Canis lupus familiaris: one gene and its partners. The protein of the gene in region 1 purifies or fractionates together with the protein of each later gene. This does not show direct contact. Links are inferred from orthologs where the notes say so. Each region holds a gene or a part of one and is shown in the gene's direction. Other genes may lie near its edges. The genes, in order: CRK, NEDD9, EDC4, DOCK5 and ASAP1.

Region 1 (4,122 bases):
GTGACCTAAACTGGGAATTTTAAGTTCTGGAGACTGTTGTTTGTTTGTTTTTTTAAGATTTTATTTATTTATTTATTCATGAGAGACACAGAGAGAGGCAGAGATGTAGGCAGAGGGAGAAGGAGGCTCCCTGCAAGGAGCCTGATGTGGGATGCGATCCCACATCCCAGAATCACCCCCTGAGCCAGAGGCAGATGCTCAACCACTGAGCCACTCAGGCGTCCCAGTTCTGGAGACTGTTAAAAGTTGTGCACAGGGTAGGAACAGTCTTAGAGTTGTAATTTAGAAAGCACACACTGTCAGATGTGTGCAATGTACTTAGAGCAGCAAGTCTATAGGGCACCAGTGAACAGGCTGTTCACAGGAATACAGATACAGATATGGAATACAGAGACAGAGATCATGATAGTAAGGAGAATAGAGGATACCCCTGGCCACGACTAGTGTTTAGAAGAATCTGGGCAAATGACTTGAAAGACTCAATCCAGAGAACTCCTGGCTTGGCACATTCTGCTCTCTCTGTCTTGCATGCTCTTCCCCTACTGGCCATTCAACATTCAGCTCAAGCCACCTCCTCTGGTAGGTGGAGGACTGAATCCCTTTACAGACTGGGCTGGAGCTCCTGGTTGGTTCCCTCTCACAGTGCTTGGAATTCCTTTGTCATTGTTCCTGCTTCCTCCCACTGGTCTGTGAATTCTGTGAGGTCAGGGCCCAAACCTTGATCACCTTTGCACCCACAGAGCAAATGTGGTGTCAGTAACTGCTGAGTCAATCAGTGCAAACAAAATACTTAAGCCAGTCTAGAGAGAAGATGGAGGAACCACCAGAAAAGGACCAAAGTCTCCAGGAGCTCAGGCCCTGAGGCCACATACATCTTTTGTAGTCCAACTGTGTCTCGGAGTTGCTGCCTAGAATTCCCGGGCCTTCCAGGAACTCGAACCCTGGAGCCGCGTGGCCAAAACCGCAAACACAAACCTCCGCCGACTCCTCGCTGAGCCCCTACCACCGGCCCTGGACTTGGCCCCTCCATCCCCTGCAGTCCCGATCCCCGCCAGGCGGCGACGCACACGGCGGCGCATGCGCAGTGCGCACCCGAGCTGTCCTTTGCCCTTCTCCCCATGGCGGGTTGCGGTCCCCTTCCCGGCATCCTCGCGGGGGCAAGGTGCGCGTCATTTCCGGTGGGGAAGGCCCGCGGCCGCCGCCGCCATTTCGGGCACTGCTGTGAAGCTGAGACCCGAGCCGGTCCGCTGGGCGGCGGGCGCCGGGGCAGGAGGGGCGCGCGTGCCGGCGGCGGCCCAGCGTGTAGGCGCGGAGGCGGCCATGGCGGGCAACTTCGACTCGGAGGAGCGGAGTAGCTGGTACTGGGGGCGGTTGAGCCGGCAGGAGGCGGTGGCGCTGTTGCAGGGCCAGCGGCACGGGGTGTTTCTGGTGCGGGACTCGAGCACCAGCCCCGGGGACTATGTGCTCAGCGTCTCGGAGAACTCGCGCGTCTCCCACTACATCATCAACAGCAGCGGCCCGCGCCCGTCTGTGCCACCGTCGCCCGCCCAGCCTCCGCCCGGTGAGGACGGACGGGACGGGACGGGAGGCCCCGGGCGGGGTGAGGGCCGCGGAACTCGCCAGCCTGACCGGCTGCCCCTCGCGAGCTAGCCTCCACGAGGGACGTGGGCAGAGGGCTGGAGCGACCCTGGCATGGGGGTACCTTGGTGCCCGGGCTCGTTCCCACCACTGGCGGTTGTGTGTGTGTGGAGGAGGAGCCGCTGACCCAGGCCTCTGGGTGTGACTTGGGAGGACAGCCCAGGGGAAGGGGAACTGCTTCGGCCCCAGGGTGGGGCTAGCGCCGGGGCCAGGCACTAGGGCAGGGCGGGCAACGTGGGGACAAAGAGCGGAGGGGGATATTGGCACTGCGGGGGCATCACTTGGCAGCGGTTCCCAGGATGAATTCGATAATCCTACAAGTGGCTTTTTAGGCTTGAAACATTTCCTGTACTGTTAGAGAGCCGGGTTTGGTTTGGAGAGCTATTCTCCCCTGCTGGCCTTTGATAGGAAGTCACCACATACTAGCCCGGAGGGATGGAGACACCCTCAGGAAACCGGTCAGCTTTTTCCTTTCTTGGGCATCTTTCCAAAATACTTTTACTGTCCTCTTCCCCCGCGGAGGACGAAGGTGGTGAGCTAAGTGCCTTGGTGACAGAAGTAAGCCCTCTGTGATCAGCCCAGAACAAGTTGATGTCCAGCTGACCGTGTCCAAGAGATCTTGGCGTCCAGAGACTCTTTTCCACAATTAGAGGGTTCTAGTTTTCAGGGTATTTTGTGGAGGACAGATTCTATGCCCCCACACCCCTCCCAGGAAATAAGCCAGTGGAAACAGTCCCTTCCTTGGAAGTGAATGGAACTTCCAATTTCATTGGACTTAAGCATTGTCAATGTCATATGTCAGGGCCTCTTGCTCAGTAAGTTGGGGCTGTGGCCCTTTTCTTTCTTAACCAAGGATCACTGAGATGTGACTGTCCTACTTACGCCTTTAGAGCTGTTTGGAGAATGTTAAGGAGGTTCATGCACTTAGTACTTGAGATTTGTGAAATACAGAGTAATTCTGAGGTTATTGTCAGATTACCATCATCTGTGTAACAGCACCAAGAGTTGTAGTCTTTCTCATTTTTCAAATTGAAGCAGTTTTCTTCTGACCAGCTGAGGCTAGCTCCAGGCCAGTCTCATAAGAATTAGGAGCCTCCTGAGCCAGCCTTTGCAAACTTGCCCTTTAGGGATAGTCCTAATTTAGATTCATTCACTCTGGCCAGAAATAGGGAGATGGGATAGTCAGTCTCTGTTGCTAACACGTATCAATTATAGGAAGAGTATGAGATCTTTAAATCCAGGAAGTATCCTAGGTCTTCTCAGTCTGCTTGGTTTAATTTTTATTTTAAGATTTTATTTATCTATCTATCATCTGTCTATCTATCTATCTATCTATCTATGAAAGACACAGGCAGAGGGAGAAGCAGACTTCTCGCTGGGAGCCCGATGCAGGACTCAATCCCCAGACCCAGGATCATGCCCTGAGGTGAAGGCAGTCACTCAACCGCTAAGCCACCCAGGCACGTCCCAGTCTGTTTGGTTTAATAGCATAACATGAGACAGGAATATTGATAGAACATAAATTTGCCCTAAACCCGATATGTTGTGCTTTTCCTTTTTTTTTTTTTTTTTTTTTAATTTTTATTTATTTATGATAGTCACAGAGAGAGAGAGAGAGAGAGGCAGAGACATAGGCAGAGGGAGAAGCAGGCTCCATGCACCGGGAGCCCGATGTGGGATTCGATCCCGGGTCTCCAGGATCGCGCCCTGGGCCAAAGGCAGGCGCCAAACCGCTGCGCCACCCAGGGATCCCTATGTTGTGCTTTTTCACCACCTTCTTGGTATCTAGGGTTGTGCATTACAGTGCAGTAATATGTCAAACTGTCACTGAAATTCAATTTTCAACCTCCTGCACCCCCAGTTTTCAACCTTTTATGTATGCGTTTTGCAAAATTTGGAGATGACAACAGGCAGGTTTGCTGGTTTGAGCTTTCTACACACCTTTGTGTTATGACTTTATATCTCTGCGCTTACCTTGATATTGAGCTCCACCTTTTCATAACAGATAGGAGTTCAAATCCTTGGCTCAAGAGAGAAGGTGAAGATTGCCAGAGTTTGTGGATGGGGTGTGGAAAGTTCACAGGCATTGTGTTAATTCTTGTTTCTGGTAATGTGCCCAGTTTTTCACATAGAGCAATTGATTGAGTTGCTGTCTTTATAAAGGTTACTTAGTCTTTGTTCTCCTTGCTTCCCCGTCAAGCTCTTTTCTTTTTGAAACTATACAGAGGAATTTCTTTAATTTTAGAAAAGCGTGTAGAGTATTAATAGCTAACATTTATTGACTGGTTATTCTGTGCCAAGTACTTTGCTGAGTACTTTCTGTGCCTTGTCTCATTTTCTGTCTATAACAATCTGGTGAGAAATACTGTAATCTCTATTTACTAAAATATTTTCATTTTATAGGTGAGGAAACAGAGAGATTCAGGAACTTGCCCAAGGTCACACAGCTGATAAATGACTGAGCCAGATTTTCAACTTCGGAAT
Region 2 (4,298 bases), on another chromosome or scaffold:
AATCCTAATTACACAAGGCTTTGAGCTGAGGGTTTGTTTCTTTGTTTAAATGTGGCATCTTGGGGATCCCTGGGTGACTCAGTGGTTTAGTGTCTGCCTTCAGCCCAGGGCGTGATCCCGGGGTCCTGGGATCAAGTCCCACATCAGGCTCCCTGCATGGAGCCTGCTTCTCCCTCTGCCTGTGTCTCTGCCTCTCTCTCTCTCTCTCTCTCTCTCTCGTGAATAAATAAATAAAATCTTTAAAAATAAATAAATAAATGTGGCATCTGCTTATGGGCAAGTATTTCCTTAATATGATTCAGACCAGCTCGACATTTAAAATAAATGACATGGATCTGAATTTCAGAGAGGATTACAGAAAATTCAAACAAAACAAAATGACAATAACAAAACAGAAGTTGCCGGTATGCAATATACAGCAGGAACAGAGGGCGAGGATGAAGGGAGGGCCGAGGACAGTGCTTTACTTGTCTTGATACTAGAGCAAACAGGAGCATCCCATGCCACTTTTGTTCAAACCGTCTCCCTCTCTCCTCCATCCTCTCTGTCCCCCAGTCATTTCTAGGCATCAGCAAGGGATAAGGAGGGGGAAGAGAAGGCAAAAAAAGCAAAGAACTGAGCTCATAATAATAACATTTGCCACTAATGATAATAGCAAACACTCATATACTTGTGGCAGCCACTCCTTGAGTGCTTTACATGTAACGCCTCACTTAATTCCCACAACAATCCTATGACTACTCCCATTTTACAGATGAGGAAGCTGAGTCACAGAAAGATCAAAAGCATTTAAAGGCAAGCACCAGGTGGTTAGCTTCAGACCATACCACTTGGGTGCTACTCCAAAGCACACAGCAAGAAGACAAAAGGTCTGAGACTAAGTAGCTGGCAAATTCCCTTCCAAATGCACAGTCTCCAGTTCTATACCACCCTGGAAATGGGAATTCTCCATGTGGGTACCCAAAGGCTAGCAGGTACCACATAGACTCAATAAATACTGGTTAAATGAAAAGATGTTTCATGTCAATCTATAGTGGAACTCTTTAGAATACATTAAGTCCATAAAAACCACAAAAACCTGAATTTGGTGGACTTACAATAGCCCAATGTCTGCTTCCATGCAGCCTAGGAAGGAGCTTATGGCACTCCCCTGAATTTCATCGTGATAATAAAGATCACCTCTTGTTAAAGTAGCAAGCAGTCCAGATCAGAGCTAGACTTCTCACCTGTCCCTAAACTACAGATCACCCTCAGTGTATCAGAAAAAAAAAAAAAAAAAAAAACCAACTGTGGCACAGAGAGGAAATGAACCGAGACAACATCACTTGCAGCAACCGGAAGGAAAAACACACGTAGGGACGCCACTCACATTCTACGTGTGTGGTTGCCCAGTAGGGAAATGCTTGCAGCTGCCTTTAGAAGCAAGTCTGGTGGCTGCAGCAAGAGAGAAGCAGGATCATGAGGCGGGACTGAGCCGTCACCTCCCGCCTGCCTGGCCAGAGAGAGAGAGAGAGGGCCAGAACATCAGGGAAGACCAGATGAGCCAGCACCAGTGGGCCTGCCCCGGGTGAGTCCCCAGACACTCACTGTGGCCTGGGGGGGTGGGGAGACTCACTCACACTCGGACTTCCTGAGTTGGTGTCAGACATCTGTTAGTGCTCCCCACTGCCGACACCCCTTGACTGGAGCCAAGAGGGACTCAATGGCCCCAAGCAGGGAAGAGTGACTCCAGGTTTCTTTCCAGTTGACCTGCAGGCAGGGGCTTGCATGCAACCCCAAACCTACACGATTGATTCTAGCCTTGAAATCAACCTGGGTAGGTGCTTCCTGGTCTAGAAGCTGGGCGGCTCCTCCCCTCTTGCTGCCCTCCTCAGAGAGCTTACCTAGGATTACCTTATGCTTTGGCTTCTCTGACACCATTTCAGGGCTTCCAGGTGTGGGCTGTCACTTAAACCTTATGGTGGATGTGAGTCATTTCTAATGCCATTTCAGCCCCTCTGGGAATGACCCCTGAGGAGCAGGAAACCATGATTGAGAACTGGAGTCGTGTCCAGCTCTGCAGAGACCCCATCATTAGCATCATGTCTAAGGGCTTGGGGACAAATTGCACTGTGTTCTACTTGTCCACACCCGGCCCCCCCAACAGCTTTGTCCTTCCTTCTCTCAATACTTACTAAGTCACGCGTAACTCATTCATTCATTCGATTGCCTTTCTTCCACAAAGGGTTTGAGGCAGCCTTTTTATCTTGCTGAAATTCTTTCAGAATGAAGGAAACGTACAATGTAAAAGGGCTAAAGCCATTTCTAAAAGGGTTACATGTTGTTCAAACTGTGTGGACATGGGTGAGCTGTTTATATTTTTCCCTGTGCCAGTGGTGAGAGCTGGGAGTGGGTTCTCTGGTCTTCTCTCCCCCCCGAAGCTGGTTCCCACCCAGGAGTGAGTTCAAAGAGCAGTTGCCCATGACAGAGCTCTGGGAACCAGCCAGATGGTTTTCAACCTTGTTTCTGTTTCCTTCCATGCTTGGGAGGAAATTCCGCCCAATTTTCAAGGACATTCCTGTTTTAAGAATAGGGCAAAGGGGAGCCGAGGAGAGAGAAGGATGTGAAATCAGCCTTGAGGTGGAGTTCCATTTCTCATTCATTAGTTAATTCACGTATTTAACACCTATCTCGTGAGTATTCACTGTGTGGCAGCTGCGTTTAAGTCCAAACTTAACATTAGATGGAGCAAAATTGATGTTGTCCCGCTTCCAAAAAGCTTACGGTCCAGGGGAGAAGCAGACGTTAATTACTAATTACACAAATGTGATAATGATCAGAACATATTGTGGGGGAAGCTGATCTCATCTGAAAGGCAGGGAGGTTTCCAGAAGGAGGGGGGAGACTAGAACTGAAAAAGGCGTAGGAGTGCACAAGGCTACGCTCCAGGTAGAGGGAACAGTGGAGACCACTTCCTGAGGTAGGAGACCACAGAATCACCTGGCAAAACCAAGGCCAGTGCAGCAGGAGGGAAGTGGGGAGTGGCTCAAAATGAGCCCAGAGGCCCAGCAGAGAAGGTGCTGCTTACTCTAAAAGCCATGGAGAAGGTAGAGGTGTTGTGGTCAGATTGATCTGCATTCTTAAGAAATCCCTTTTGATAGGTTTGGAGAATGGATGGGAGGGGGCTACACCTATGGGCAGGGAGACCAATGAGAAGGTGGATGGAGTCAGCCAAGCAAGAGTATCTATGTGAGTATGGCTAAGAGAGATGGCAGCGGAGAGAGGACTGCACAAAGTTAAAAGTCATTTAGAAAGGAAAATCGACAGTGCTTGGTGGTAGACAGAAAAGGGGAGTTGGGAGGGAAAGTATCCAAGACAACCCCCAGTTCCTGGTTTGCACATCCAAGTGGATGCTGATGCTCCTTGGCGATCACAGAGACTGGCGAAGCTGGTCGGGACCAGGCCAGGGTTGGTTCAGTTCTAGAATCGATCCAGTGGTAGATGTCAGCCAGCCGGTTGACACTGACCAATATTTAGAGCTCTGAGCAGAGGTCTGGGGATCCTAGGCGTGGGGTTGGTAAGTGTAGCCGTGGGTACGGGTGACCTGCAGGAAAGTGTTGAGTGAGAAAGCAGGAGAGTGGCTTAGAATTGAACCTCAAGGAAGAAGCACCTGGGGGGCTCAGTCACTTAAGCGTCTGGCTCTTGATTTAGGCTCAGATCATAATCTCAGGTTCATGGGATCAAGTCCTGTGTAGGGCGTGCTCAGCATGGAGTCTGCCTAGGATTCTCTCTTCCTCTCCCATCCCCCTCCCCACTGCTTGTGCTCTCTCTCTCTCTCTCTTAAATAAATACAATCTAACAAAAAAAAGAAGAAAGAAAAAGAAAGAAAGAAAGAAAGAAAGAAAGAAGAAAAAAGAATTGAATCTCAAGAAATTCTAACTTTTTTTTAAAAAGAGCCTATCTTTATTCATTCATGAGAGACACAGAGAGAGAGGCCGAGACATAGGCAGAGAGAGAAGCAGGCTCCCTGTGGGGAGCCCGATGTGGGACTCAATCCCAGGACCCCGGGATCATGACCTGAGTCAAAGGCAGATACTCCTTTGAGCCACTGAGCCACCCAGGTGTCCCAAATTCTAACATTTAAATAGAGGAGAAGGGTCCCTCCAAAAAGAGTAGGATGGTTCCTCGAAAAGTTAAATACAAAATTATCACACATGGCCCGGCAAGTCTACTCCTACTTATACATCCAGAAGAACTGAAAACAAAGATTCAAATAAATACATGTACCCACACTTTCATAGCAGCACTATTCACAATAG
Region 3 (4,303 bases), on another chromosome or scaffold:
CCTCAGCCCCCTGGTTTTGGAAAACCGAGCTGCAGACAGAGCTCAAGGCCAAGCCTGAGGCTTCCCTTGCACTCTCTAGTCAGTTCTGATGACTCCTACGTGGGGTAGGATCAGGGCTCTGGTAGTAGAGATGATCTAGAATCCCATTGAAAGGGACTCATCAGGTTCAGGTGCTCCAGACTGAGGGCTCAGCAAAACTACCATGTATAAAATGAGCAAAAGTTTGAGGGAGAGGGTCCTGTTCTACCCCAGAACAGTCAGGATCACATCCAGGGTACCCCATAAACCCCAAGCCAAGCAGAGGGCAGCTCAGGTTTTGTACTACCTGCTTTGGATATCCTTGCCCACAGAGCCAGGCCCAGTTTAGAGCTATTGAAAGTAGGCAATCTGAGTTTGAGGGATTTGTGCTCTGGGATTTCTCACCCCTCAGACCTCTGCAAGGCATCTCTAGGCCTCCTGCTTCCTCCCTCACCACACACATACTTTCACATTGTCTTCAAGTTCCAGGAAATCTTAACTCTTGGGGCAGTTAATGCTTTTCATTTTGGGGGACAGAGGCCTTCTGCTCACTGCAGAACTTGCCCTTTAGCCCTGAGACCTCTAGTGGTATAAATAAGCCTGGTGTCAAGGAAGCAACCAGAAGCTAGAACCAAACCCAGGGGTCAGGCTGGTGCCCTGTTAGGGGTTTCAGGATTGAGGAGGGTACCACAATTAGGCCTGACCTGCACTCCCCCTTCCCTCCTGCACTACAGATGGAGGCCAAGGACTTCTTCAGACCCCCCACAGGTTGCCTGGCTACACTGAGCACAGGCCTGGATGATGGATTGTTTTTAGGAGACCACAAATTCGGATTTCAGGGGGACTGATTTAGGAGGCTGGGGGTGGGGAGTGGGGGTTGGGAGAGAGGTGGATGCCTGATGCCTCTTAAACCACCCTGTGTAAAATCTGCAATACAGCTTCTTCCATGTACCTGTGCCTGAAATTTCTGCAATAAAGAGGTGTTTGTAAACTCTGGTTTCTTTATTCCTGCCTGAGGGTGTCAAGCCTGGGTGGGTAAAGGATGCTGGGGGACATTAACAATGTGACGTTCTGGTCTGACAAGCTCCCCTAGCAATTCCTGGGCTTAAGATTCCCCTGAGGCCTGGGTTGCCCTACCGTATTTCCCCAAGGGGAAACTAGGCTCCTACCAATTTAGCTTTCTCCTTGGGAGGGTCTTAAGGAGTTGATCCAGTTCCAGGCCTATCATGTTTCCGTGTTCTGGGAATGAACACAGGCTGGACAGGATGTCCTGAGCTGAATAGGGTTTTCGGCGGTCCTATACGCGCCCAATTGCCCTGAGGAACGCCCACTGACCTAGGGGTCCCGGAGGGGCGAAGCTTCCGCCCCCAGCCCGGAACCTTTCTTCTCCGTACTGCTTAGGTTCCGGGAGCCGGAGCTCCGGCGGGCCGGAAGTGGAGGCGGTTGGTGGGGCTGGTGGGGTACAGGGACGCGGCGCGGGCGGCGGTTTGCGGGCAGCGGGCGGGCCGAATCTAGCGACCCGTGTCCTGCCGTCTGGTCCCGGCAGGGCTGTGCGCGGCTGCACTGTGCGCGGCGGCGGCGAAACGAACGCGGCGCGGGAGAGGCGCCCGCGGCTGGGCCCATGGCCTCCTCCTGCGCGAGCATCGACATCGAGGACGCCACGCAGCACCTGCGGGACATCCTCAAGCTGGACCGGCCCGCGGGGGGTGAGCCGGGACAGCGGGGGTGGGCCTTCGGCGAGCGGGCCTTAGGGCGGCGCGGGCCTGGGCCGTCCTCAGTGTCCGCAGGTCCCTCAGGACCCGTGCCGCATCTTCCTGGCTGGTGAGGCAAGACGAGGGTTGGAGCCGTAAATTCCTGAGCGTGCCCCGCAAGGGTGCAGATCCCTTCCTATCCCGGGGCCGGGCCGTTCTGCCTCGCCCTTCAGCGTCTCTGCTGAAGGTGAGGTTCCTTCTCTGAATCCGCAGGGCCCCCTTGGTGTCCTGGCCCCAAGGTAGAAGCGTTCCTAGGGCTCGATCCGTATCATGGTGCCATGTAGTTCAGAGGCCTGATCAGGGCTCTGTATGCTAGTTTTGGGTCTAGACCTAAGCATTTTGCTGAGGAACCACTGGTCACCCTCTGCAACTTGCCCTTCACTCTGGAATAGACTCCAGGCCTGCTGTTCTAAAACTGATTCTTAGGAGACAGGTGACCAGCCCCAGGATGTGTCCTTTCTGAGATTAAAGCAAATCACAGATTGCATGGCCCTGATTGGATTAGGCTACAAACATCTGCAAGCCCTAGTTTATTTCCATTCATTTAAACTTGACTTGCAGTGATAACCTCAGAGTTGCTCCTACCCTTAAAGAGCTCCCAGGACTTAGAGAACTAATGCTGTTGTCATTGGGGGTGGGGGGGGGGCGTATTTTGGTACTGTGATGAAGACAGGGTAGGAGGTTAGGGCTGGATAGTGCCTGAGAACAGATCTGAGAAGACAGTGTTTAGGCTAGGTGTTAATAGTATGATATGACCAGGTGATTCAGTGTCAGGAATGGCATTCTACAAAGAAGAAATAGCATGTATGAAAGCACTGCCAAAGTTTCCTGGTAGGTTAGGGACCTGTGAAAAGCAGTGGTTGAAAGACTGGCTGGTGATGGTGGTGTGGGGTGTGCAGGGGCCACAGCTGAGAATTGGTGTTTCTTCAGACTCTGTTCTTAAACTTGCTGGGAGGCCCAAACTGGCTGCTTTTAGAAGCAGGCATTGGTGCTCACACTGGGTGGGTTTAGCTACCCCTGGTCCCCTTAGGAAAATCCATCTGCTGCGTGAAACCACTAAGTACTTTGCCCCAAACCTGGAGTGTGTGCTCGGTTTACTCGTGAGCTTGGTTGGCTTGGACCGCTCATGGTCATCAGCACTGGGCAGACTAGACTGCACAAAGATTTGGTAGAGGCTGGCATGGCCAATATTTTGCAGCTTGTTTCTTTGTCCTTATGGTAGCCTACCTTGGAAGGAGAGTGGCCAGCTTACTCCTGAGCAGCTAAAGTGGCTCTGATCCAAGTGAAGTGGCTTGGAGGCTTTCCACTTAATATCTTACGTATTGATTGGTATTTAATTGCCCCATTTACCAATTAGCTCTTGCTTGTCTCCTCTGGAGGCACTGGAGGACCATGTTAGATGCCAGTGTGGGGGCCTAGTCTCCTTGTCATCTGGGAGTTTTAGGGTGGTATCTGAGCCTATAAGGGTGCTTGAAATAGCCAGTGGCAAACAACTGAAATCCTTTCTTTCCTGACTACACACCCTATCCTAGAGTTGCTCTCCACTTTGTCCAACCCCTTTGTGTCCATTCCTTCTGAGTTTACCTGCCCAAGGTGGCTTCTTCTGAACCATTTCTTTGAGGGGCAGGTTTCTTTCTTTCTTATTCCCACATCTTATCAGTGTTCTTTCATGCCTTAGAAGCCCATCTTCCTTTCTATATCATCTACCACTATCTTGGTCTAGGTTCTTAAATTATATCCTACATGCTGCTTTAGAGCAGTCATTCTTTTGGCCATAGCAGACCATGTCACCTTTCCATTTAAAACTCTGTGTGGCTCTCTGCGCTACAGGGAAAATTTAAGCACCTAAGCTTCATATCTGAGACCTCTATGGCTTGTCTTCCCTCCATCTTTCCTATACTTGTGTGTGCCAGCCTTACTGGCTCTGATGTACCTCCTTTATGAAGTCTGTCCTGACCCTTTCCATGCCTTCTCTTGAGTACAGAGTCCCTTTGTACTGACCCAGGCCTAAATATTAATTGGCTGCATGGGATTCTTGATGGCTTTACTCCTCCCTCAGGCAGAAGAGCCACATGCATGTCTTTGGTCCTGGCAGGCATTGGGATAACTATCAGTATTGATGGAACAAAAGATGAACCAAGAGTCCTCCTCCCCTCAGACATGGCTCCCTCAGTTGAATGTTCCCAGAGCACCTCATGGCTTTTGAATGAAGTTCGGCAAGAGGAAAGGCCAATGGGCAGGTGGAACAGCCTCATCAGAGTAGACCTTTCTATCCCCAGGTCCCAGTGCAGAGAGCCAGCGGTCATCTAATGCCTACAATGGGGATCTCAATGGGCTTCTTGTCCCAGACCCCCTCTGCTCAGGTGATGGTACTTCAACAAACAAGCCTGGTCTCCGGGCCATGCCACCTATTAACCTTCAGGAAAAGCAGGTCATGTGAGTGTCTGGGAAATGGCAATGATGGTATTGGGGTCTTTGGGGTGGTGCACTTAATCACATATTTGTGTTAGGATGAGGCTCAAGGACAAGCTCAA
Region 4 (4,397 bases), on another chromosome or scaffold:
TTTATTTCTATGGGTAAGGTAGCAAAGCATCCCTCCCCTCCACCGGGCAGCACAGGCGTCTCTAATCCCATCTTCAGTCCTGAGGTCTCTCCAGGAGCAAGTGAGATCCTGGAGGGCGTTCGGAGGGCTCCAACAGCAGTCTTCTGCAGTTCAGAAGAGCAGGCTTTGCTTTTGGCTGCTGGTCAAAACCATACAGTGAAGGAGAGATGACTCGGATGTGTCCTGTCCCCCTCTCCGCAGGGATGCTCTTTAGGCTGCTGGTCTTTTGGAAAAGGCGGTTGGGGGGGGTGTGTGTCTTGGGGCGAACTTCTCCCTTGATCATAGGGGCCCTCAATCTCTTCACTTGGGGAGGAGTCCCGGTGTTTGGGGTGGGGGTGGGGTGGGGGTACAGGATTTCCAAGTTAAGGCTCTCTAAACTCTAAAGAATTTCCCCAACGGAGCTCCCCGAGGAGACGGACCTTTCTGGGGTGCACATCGCCCCCCCCCCCCCCCGCACCAGGTCTCTATTTACCCGAAGACGAATGCGCCTGCTTTGAAAGCTCTAAACGTTATATGGTCTCATTCATTTGGGGGAATCTAAAAATCAGTGAAAGGGAATACAGGGGAAAGGAGAGAAAATGAGTTGAAAATATCAGTGAGGGTGACAAAACAGGAGAGACTCCTAAGTCTGGGAAACGAACAAGGGGTCGTGGAAGGGGAGGTGGGTGGAGGGATGGGGGTGACCGGGTGACGGGCACTGAGGGGGGCACTTGATGGGATGAGCACTGGGTGTTATGCTGTATGTTGGCAAACTGAACTCCAATTAAAAAAATTTTTTTTTAAAGAGAAGGAAAGCATTAAAGGGTGGCCCCGGGAGAGCCTGTGGGCCCTGGAGTCCTTCCGGCTCTCTCTCTCTCTCTCTCTCTCTCTCTCTCTCTCTCTCTCTCTCTCTCGGTCAGTGAAAGCTGCAGGGGGTGAGCGCAGCGTCAGCTGCTCATTCATTCAACAAATATTTACTGAGCGCCTGCTGAGTGCCAGGCACTGGGGGGCCCGGGGCGAGGAGCGACCTGGGACTTGATCCTGGGCCCCCCGGGGGCGCGGTGGGCGCGCCTCTGCTCCCCCGGGGTGCGCCGCCACCTCCAGGGACGCCCCGGGCTCCAGCCTGGAGGGTCTCACGGGGGACGAAGGGAAGGCGGCGGAGGGCGCAACAGTAAAACGAAAAAGCCGGAGCCGGTGGGCCCCGGGGCGCCGCTCCCGGGGAGCGCGCGAGGCGGGGCGGGGGAGCGCGGAGCGCGGAGCCCCGGGCGCGGAGGCGGCCCCGGCGGGCGGAGGGCGCGGCCGGCGGGAGGGGCCGGGGCGGCGCCGGGAGGGCCCAGCAGGTGACCGGCGGCCCGGCAGAGCCCCAGCGAGTCCCGCGCGCGCGGGCGGCGAAGTTTGCCGGAACATGGCGGAGGAGCCCGGGGCGCGCGGGAGCGGGGCGCGGCGGCGGCCGGGGCCCCGGGAGCTGTAGCCGCCGCAGCCGCAGCCGCCGCCGCCGCGGGGCGAGGTCGCCGCCATGGCCCGCTGGATCCCGACCAAGAGGCAGAAGTACGGGGTCGGTGAGTGCTCGCCCGAAGTTCGCGGGAGCGGCCCTGCCCCGCGGCGGAGGCTCCCCCCGGGCCCCCCGCGCCCCCCGCCCCCAGGGCGCAGGCGGCGCTGCCCGGCCGGGACGTCGCCCCCGGGGTGGGGAGTCTCAGCGCCCCCCGAAACGGCACTGGGGCTCCGGGACCCGAAGCCCCGGCGCCGTGCACGGTGCAAACGTCAAAAGCGAGCGCTCGCCCGCGGGGGTGTGGGGCGCGGGCCCGGGGCTCCCCCTTCTCCGCCCCAGCCTTGCGGATCCGTGGAGTGGTTTGTCCGCTCGCGGACCCGGGGCTTCTGCGTGCCGTCTGCTGGGCTCCCCAAGTGAGGTCCCCAAGTGAGGTGTGCGGGGGAGGGGGTAGGACGGCGCCCCCTTCCTCCAGGGACTGGGATGCCGGTAACAGTTGTAAAGTGAATGGGACACTCAAGCCGTGGGGTGGGGGTGATGGAGACGGAGGAGACGGCGAGCGGGCTGGGGGCGCGGACGCGCGCGTCCCTAACCGAGCGTGCCTAAAGGCGCCTACGACCGCCCTGCGAGGCCGCAGTTCCGTCCTGGGGCAGATAACGTGAGGATTTTTTTTTTTTTTTTTTTAAGATTTTCTTTATTCATTCATGAGAGGCACAGAGAGAGGAGAGAGAGAGGCAGAGGGAGAAGCAGGCTCCATCCATGCAGGGAGCCCATGCGGGACTCGATCCCGGGACTCCAGGATCAGGCCCTGGCCCGAAGGCAGGCGCTAAACCCCCCGAGCCACCCAGGGATCCCCACAGGAGCATATTTTGTTAAGGAACCTGTGGCAGGTCCTGGCCAGGCACTGGGCTTTCCTAAAGGTGGTGCTCCAGAGCCCCCACCACCCGCGGAGGGGTGGCTGTTGTGTTGTTGGGGACCCGAAAGCCTGGCTGTGCCTGGTTTTGACCCAGGTGGAAAACCGCGGTCCTTGCACCTGGTGTGTGTGTGTGTGTGTGTGTGTGTGTGTGAGTGTGCGTGTGCGCGCGCGTGCTGAGGTCTCTTGGAAAGACTGCCCTGAGCCGGGCCATCCCTGGGGCAGGTGGACTTCCGAGCGGTTCCCTAGAATAAACACAGTTGTGTGTGTGGAGCATTTTATCACTTCCTCCCAGGTTCATTCATTCGGTCCATCTGTAATGTAATCTTTTATTTTACTCGCTTTCCCGGGCCCCATTTTTCCTTACCGCTTCAGTTAGTAGGGAGGGAGGGATCCCTGCAGCGCTTCTGTGCTTTCTGACACACTGAAGTCCTCTTGGGATACTCTTTAAACAACCTCCTCTAGGTGCTTTTCGACTCTGTAACCACAGAGTCCGTTAAAAACCCAACAACAAAACCCTTTCACATTTAAAATAGTATCTTAATTGTGACCCTTTCTGTGTATATGTAGCTGTATATGTGATATGTACTGTGTATATGTAATTCCTTGTTGCCCCCCTATTCCAAAAAACTTGTTTCCTCTTAAATTTCCTTTAGAATCCTTGCACTCTCTTGTGGCAGCAACTCAGAAATGAGTGTTTCTTCTGACCCACAGTATCTGGTCAGAATTTGGTCCTGAGGCTTCAGGCAGGTGCCAGTGAGTAGCCAGTAGTTATGGAAGGAAAATGGTCTGTGATAGATGGAATCGATTTATTTTTGAGCATTACAGAGTACTACTAAATTAAAGCATAATTAGCAATGCCTGCTCATTAGTTACTATTTACAAAGATAGCAGTTTTGATTTTGTTTCTAACAGGATCCAACACTATGACTTTCATGTAGTTAATGCCAAGCATACCCCTCAAATGTGGTTTTAATTACCATAGTCATAGGAGCAAGTGTGACATGTTTTCTTTTCAGTAATACTACCCCCCCCCCCCATTCTGGAATCAGGTTACCATGTTATTTATCAGCAGTCAAGAAAAGCATTTGAAATGCATTTCCAGGGCATAGGTGGTAGCAAAACTGCCCCAGGATATAATTTGGCACACTTATTTTACTAGACACAATAGATTTTGATTAATCTTGGCTTGACAAAAGGACCCACTGTTAGGACAGATTAGCTGAGGAGATAAATCACCATTGTTTATTCCTAAAACTCTCTGTTGTTCTCAGTGCCTCCCGCTTGGAAGCCTTCCTTGGCCTACCGGGGTAAAGTCTAAATTGAGCCCAACTTTCAAGGTTATGATAATCTGGTTCGACCTGTCTCCACCAACTTTATCTCTCCTGGCTTCTTTCATTAACTTACCAGGGCAGACACTGCCCTTCTCTGCTCTTGTGCAACATGCAATGAAGAGGTTCTCCCTTTGGGACTTTGCTCCCAGAGTGCCCTCCCAGTTCTGTATCATCTCCAATCCAGCCTATTCCTCGGGGGGCTCAGATGCATTTGCATTGCTTCCCCAGATTTGGTATGAACCGGACCTTCTTCCCAAACCCGTATGCCTCTCCTCACAATCACTACATTGTGCCACACTTTGTTACTTATCCTTTTATCCTTGGGTTCACTGAATCAGGTTATGGTTCTGTATCCCTGTCATGATACCAGGTAGAGAGCCTGTATTCAGTAACTGCTTGTCCTTGCTGTTGAGGTGACACTCTAAAGCCTTAACCTCATTTCCATGATGATTTAATGCAGTTCCTCTCCCCACCCCCCCACCCCCATTCACCACAGTATGAGTTTTATTTTGTTTGGTTAAATGTGCGTAGTGAGAGCCTTCGGTGTCTTTATTTCTTTGCAAGCAGAAAAATGAGATGTGCTGTTGAGAAAATAAGGAAGCATCGAGTAGACAGACTTCATTTAAATATAATTAGGAAAATTGGC
Region 5 (3,667 bases), on another chromosome or scaffold:
GCAGGCTTGTGGAAAACTTAACTCTATCCTTCTAATTTTCTGTAACCTGTTTGTATTATATAGTCTTTTGTTTTTTTAATTCTGGATTAGTTTGGACATCCTGTTCTTACGTAACTGAGGCATGAAATCGTATACGGTCCCGTGGACACCTTCTAGGCTTCCAACTTTCATCTTCTAAGAACAGGCACTCACTCTCCATCGGTCCTCCCGGTGACCGAAGGAGGGGACAGCGCTTCCCCACCTCGGGGTCCCCTCTGGTGACCTTGCTCTCTGTGGTTGCTTCCCACAGTGGCACTAAGGAAAACAGAAACCAGCCATCACCTCTCCCTAGATAAAGCCAACATCCCGCCCGAGATCTTCCAGAAGTCATCGCAGTTGGCAGAGTTACCACAGAAGCCACCACCTGGAGACCTGCCCCCGAAGCCCACAGAACTGGCTCCCAAGCCCCAAATTGGAGATTTGCCACCGAAGCCAGGAGAACTGCCCCCCAAGCCGCAGCTGGGCGACCTGCCACCCAAGCCCCAGCTGGCAGACTTACCTCCCAAGCCACAGATGAAGGACCTGCCTCCCAAACCACAGCTGGGGGACCTGCTGGTGAAACCCCAGACCGGAGATGTCTCACCCAAGGCACAGCAGCCCCCCGACGTCACGCAGAAGGCACACCCGGCGGATCTCTCCCCAAATGTGCAGTCCCGAGACGCCATCCAAAAGCAAGCATCTGAAGACTCCAATGACCTCACGCCCACTCTGCCAGAGACGCCCGTACCACTGCCCAGGAAAATCAATACGGTGGGTAGACATCAATTTTGAGGCTTTTGCAAAACCCTGCTGCTCTCCGAAACCTGGCGGGAGAGTCTGTGCCCCAGCTAACACAGAAAAATCACAAGCTTGCTCACCTAAGCTGGCTGTGGTTCAGGCATGGTGGTGGAGCAGAGTCTAGTGGTTAGGGACGCGGGTGTTGGGTGTTGGACTCCAGCCAGCGGGCTTCAGGACCCGCCCTGAGCTCCCGCTCTCCCTGTGTGACCTGGGTGCATTCCTTACCCTCTCTGAGCCCGGTCCCCTGGTACACCGGAAGGAGCTAATGCAGCCGCTGAGCTCACGGGCAGTTCGGTGCAGTGAGGGATGAGCGGCAGCCCGCACACACTTGTCTTAGAGCCTGGAGGATGATATTTCCCTTTCTTAGAATCACAGGAAGGCAGGTTCCCTCTCAGGGTTCTGAAAATCTCCCACTCAGCTCTCCCCGCATCTTCCCAGAGGAACCAGAGGCAAAGCCCAATGAGACTTGCACAAGCAGAGTTCGGCTGACACCCCACATTCCCTCCTTTTCCTGAAATGCTCTCTACAATATACCGATTTTATTTTAATATAAAAATGCTTCCCCTCCCCCCCCAAAAAAAAACACTCTTTTTTTGGGAAAGTGCCCCGGGAGCATTCAGTGTACTATCTGCACCGCCCACGGCTGCACCCCCACGGCTGAGGAGCACAGTTAGTGAGGAACCGGAAGGCCTCCCACTGCACACAGGGGATCCGCCCTCGCTCATTATAAAATCAGCATTGCGGTAAAAGTGTGTCACTTCCACACTAAGGGAAGGGCAGGAAAAACAAAGCCCGTTCTCCCTCGGGCTGGAGACCACCGCAGTCCCTATGTACGGCGGCAGATGCCTCTGCTCTTCACGGGGGCGATGTCCCAAGAGCCCAGGCACCGCCAGGCACCTCGACGTACGGGATCCCAGCACGTGCTGTGCACTTGCCAGTTGTTTTATGACCTCATTTCATCCTCCCCGTTATCAAGTATCACCTAGGGGCCATGGGCCCGAGACAACAAAGACTTGCAAGGCCTCGGTTCCTCTGCCCCACCAGCCCCACTGCTTGCGCCCCGGGAGGAACCGCAGGAGGGAGTGGGGTGACTTAGGGAGAAACCAGGGACAGAGAGAAGTCACTTGACCCAAAACATTGAGAGCCACAGCTTGCTTTTTTCTTTTTAAAAAAAAAACAAATTAATCAGTGAGGCACCAAAAACCTCCTTTGGAAGATGATTTCTCCATTCCCGTCTGTCTGCAGAGAACCAGACGTCCCGCAGATAAAAGTGCAAGTGAAAACTGATCAGAAATTAAAACATTTTGGGCAACTGCCTAGAATCCTCCCAGCCTGGGCCGCCGCCCTGTTTAACCAGCATGTGCTGACTTGGTACTTTGCATGAGGGGACTGAGAAATTTGTTTACGCTGTGCATTCAGTATGCAGAAGCTGCACATTTCTCTTTACATCATGTTTCCCAAAACCATTTTTAGACTCTGCTGTCATCTCTGCAAGCTGCTCTCGGGAGTGGGGGAGGGCAGGGTGCTTCAGGGGTTTGGGCGAGGCTGGATTTCAATCCCCACTTGCGGTTTCCTCTGTCCTGGTGTGGGGGGCACAGAGTGGGGGAGCACACAGCCCCCCGCGCTTGCCGCCCCCTCCACAGAGGAGACGTGGAGGCTCAGTGAGGGTAAATCACGGGCCCAAGGCCACTGTGTGCTTTTGTCCAGCTAAAACCCAGGTTCTTTCTTAAAGGGGAAAAACAAGGTGAGACGAGTGAAGACCATCTACGACTGCCAGGCGGACAATGACGACGAGCTCACGTTCATGGAGGGGGAAGTGATTGTCGTCACAGGGGAGGAGGACCAGGAGTGGTGGGTATGTACCAGGCCGCCTCGGGCGGGCGCCCCCGGGGACCGGGGTCCTCACTTGCCCTCCAGCGTTTTCATGGGGCGTCTTCTCTCCCCGAGTCGTGCTAGAAACGCAGGCGTGGAGCTCTGACACCGGGTTGGGAGAACGAACGTGTGCCTGTGCTTTGCCCTCGTGATCGTACAACCTGCAAGCCGCAGGCATTTCCTGCTTTTTCAGATGTGAAACTGAGGCTCGAGGTTAAGCATGTGACACAGGTCGGAGGCAGGCGGTCAGCCTTCGGAAGCATCTCTGACCTCAGAGCCCGAGTCCCCGTGTCAGGCCATCCCGGGCCAGGCATCAGGGCCGGGGGCTCCATCCTCAATCCGGCGGTTCTGCCTTTGTAAAGTGGGGCATGATACCCTCCTCCCTTGATTTTACGGGAGTAAACAGAAATATCTACAAAAATCCCTTTTACATTAAAACCTGCTGCCCGAGCGTCCTCACACAGCTTGGAGATTCTCAGCGGCTCCAAGGACAGCCCTACGCATCTGTGCTGTTGAGGCTGTCAGGATTGAGCCTCCTGTGACAAACAGCAGGCCAGAGGCACCGTGGGTGGTGGCCACCGTGGCAGGTGTCTCTCCTGGCTGGGGATGCTGCTTCCTCTCAGCCTGGGTCCCACCTGCCCGGAGGGACCCGTTCTGTGTGCTGAGGAAGGGACCTGCGGTTCACAGCTGAGCCAGCAGAGCCTGCCAGGGCCCGAAGCACAGGTGCACGCACACATGTACACACATGCAAACACACGTCTACATGCAGCAGGCATGCGTGCTCCTTTGGCTTTTCTTCCTTTGGGCCTGGAGAGCACCTCCAGACTCCTGATCACAGGTTCTGCATGGACCGAAGCAGTGGCTCAGAGGCCCGTGCAGCTTTGCCCCCCAGAGTTCCGATTGTCAGGACCTGGGAGGGTGGGTGCTCTGAGCCTCTGGCCAGTGGAAGCCAGGGGTGCTTGGGAGTGCAAGAGGACTG

Evidence for each region.
Region 2: the proteins of CRK (region 1) and NEDD9 purify together in Homo sapiens (affinity purification with western blotting; 3 studies listed by BioGRID). This does not show direct contact. The link is inferred for Canis lupus familiaris from reciprocal best matches to the Homo sapiens genes CRK and NEDD9.
Region 3: the proteins of CRK (region 1) and EDC4 purify together in Homo sapiens (affinity purification with mass spectrometry; 3 studies listed by BioGRID and IntAct, with this or other methods). This does not show direct contact. The link is inferred for Canis lupus familiaris from reciprocal best matches to the Homo sapiens genes CRK and EDC4.
Region 4: the proteins of CRK (region 1) and DOCK5 purify together in Homo sapiens (affinity purification with mass spectrometry; 3 studies listed by BioGRID and IntAct, with this or other methods). This does not show direct contact. The link is inferred for Canis lupus familiaris from reciprocal best matches to the Homo sapiens genes CRK and DOCK5.
Region 5: the proteins of CRK (region 1) and ASAP1 purify together in Homo sapiens (affinity purification with mass spectrometry; 3 studies listed by BioGRID and IntAct, with this or other methods). This does not show direct contact. The link is inferred for Canis lupus familiaris from reciprocal best matches to the Homo sapiens genes CRK and ASAP1.

The regions. Positions count from the first base shown.
Region 1 is NC_049230.1:45,570,729-45,574,850, reverse strand, and holds the start of CRK (adapter molecule crk), read left to right. Parts: upstream 1-1,213; 5' UTR 1,214-1,320; coding exon 1,321-1,561; intron 1,562-4,122. UniProt on the Homo sapiens protein: Involved in cell branching and adhesion mediated by BCAR1-CRK-RAPGEF1 signaling and activation of RAP1.
Region 2 is NC_049256.1:12,338,171-12,342,468, reverse strand, and holds the start of NEDD9 (enhancer of filamentation 1), read left to right. Parts: upstream 1-1,366; 5' UTR 1,367-1,567; intron 1,568-2,174; exon of another isoform or gene 2,175-2,314; intron 2,315-4,298. UniProt on the Homo sapiens protein: Scaffolding protein which plays a central coordinating role for tyrosine-kinase-based signaling related to cell adhesion. As a focal adhesion protein, plays a role in embryonic fibroblast migration.
Region 3 is NC_049226.1:82,196,274-82,200,576, reverse strand, and holds the start of EDC4 (enhancer of mRNA-decapping protein 4), read left to right. Parts: upstream 1-1,487; 5' UTR 1,488-1,639; coding exon 1,640-1,724; intron 1,725-1,819; exon of another isoform or gene 1,820-1,956; intron 1,957-4,048; coding exon 4,049-4,205; intron 4,206-4,303. UniProt on the Homo sapiens protein: In the process of mRNA degradation, seems to play a role in mRNA decapping. Component of a complex containing DCP2 and DCP1A which functions in decapping of ARE-containing mRNAs. Promotes complex formation between DCP1A and DCP2.
Region 4 is NC_049246.1:32,424,761-32,429,157, reverse strand, and holds the start of DOCK5 (dedicator of cytokinesis protein 5), read left to right. Parts: upstream 1-1,489; 5' UTR 1,490-1,534; coding exon 1,535-1,577; intron 1,578-4,397. UniProt on the Homo sapiens protein: Guanine nucleotide exchange factor (GEF) for Rho and Rac. GEF proteins activate small GTPases by exchanging bound GDP for free GTP. Along with DOCK1, mediates CRK/CRKL regulation of epithelial and endothelial cell spreading and migration on type IV collagen.
Region 5 is NC_049234.1:27,597,475-27,601,141, reverse strand, and holds part of ASAP1 (arf-GAP with SH3 domain, ANK repeat and PH domain-containing protein 1), read left to right. Parts: intron 1-289; coding exon 290-789; intron 790-2,548; coding exon 2,549-2,671; intron 2,672-3,667. UniProt on the Homo sapiens protein: Possesses phosphatidylinositol 4,5-bisphosphate-dependent GTPase-activating protein activity for ARF1 (ADP ribosylation factor 1) and ARF5 and a lesser activity towards ARF6.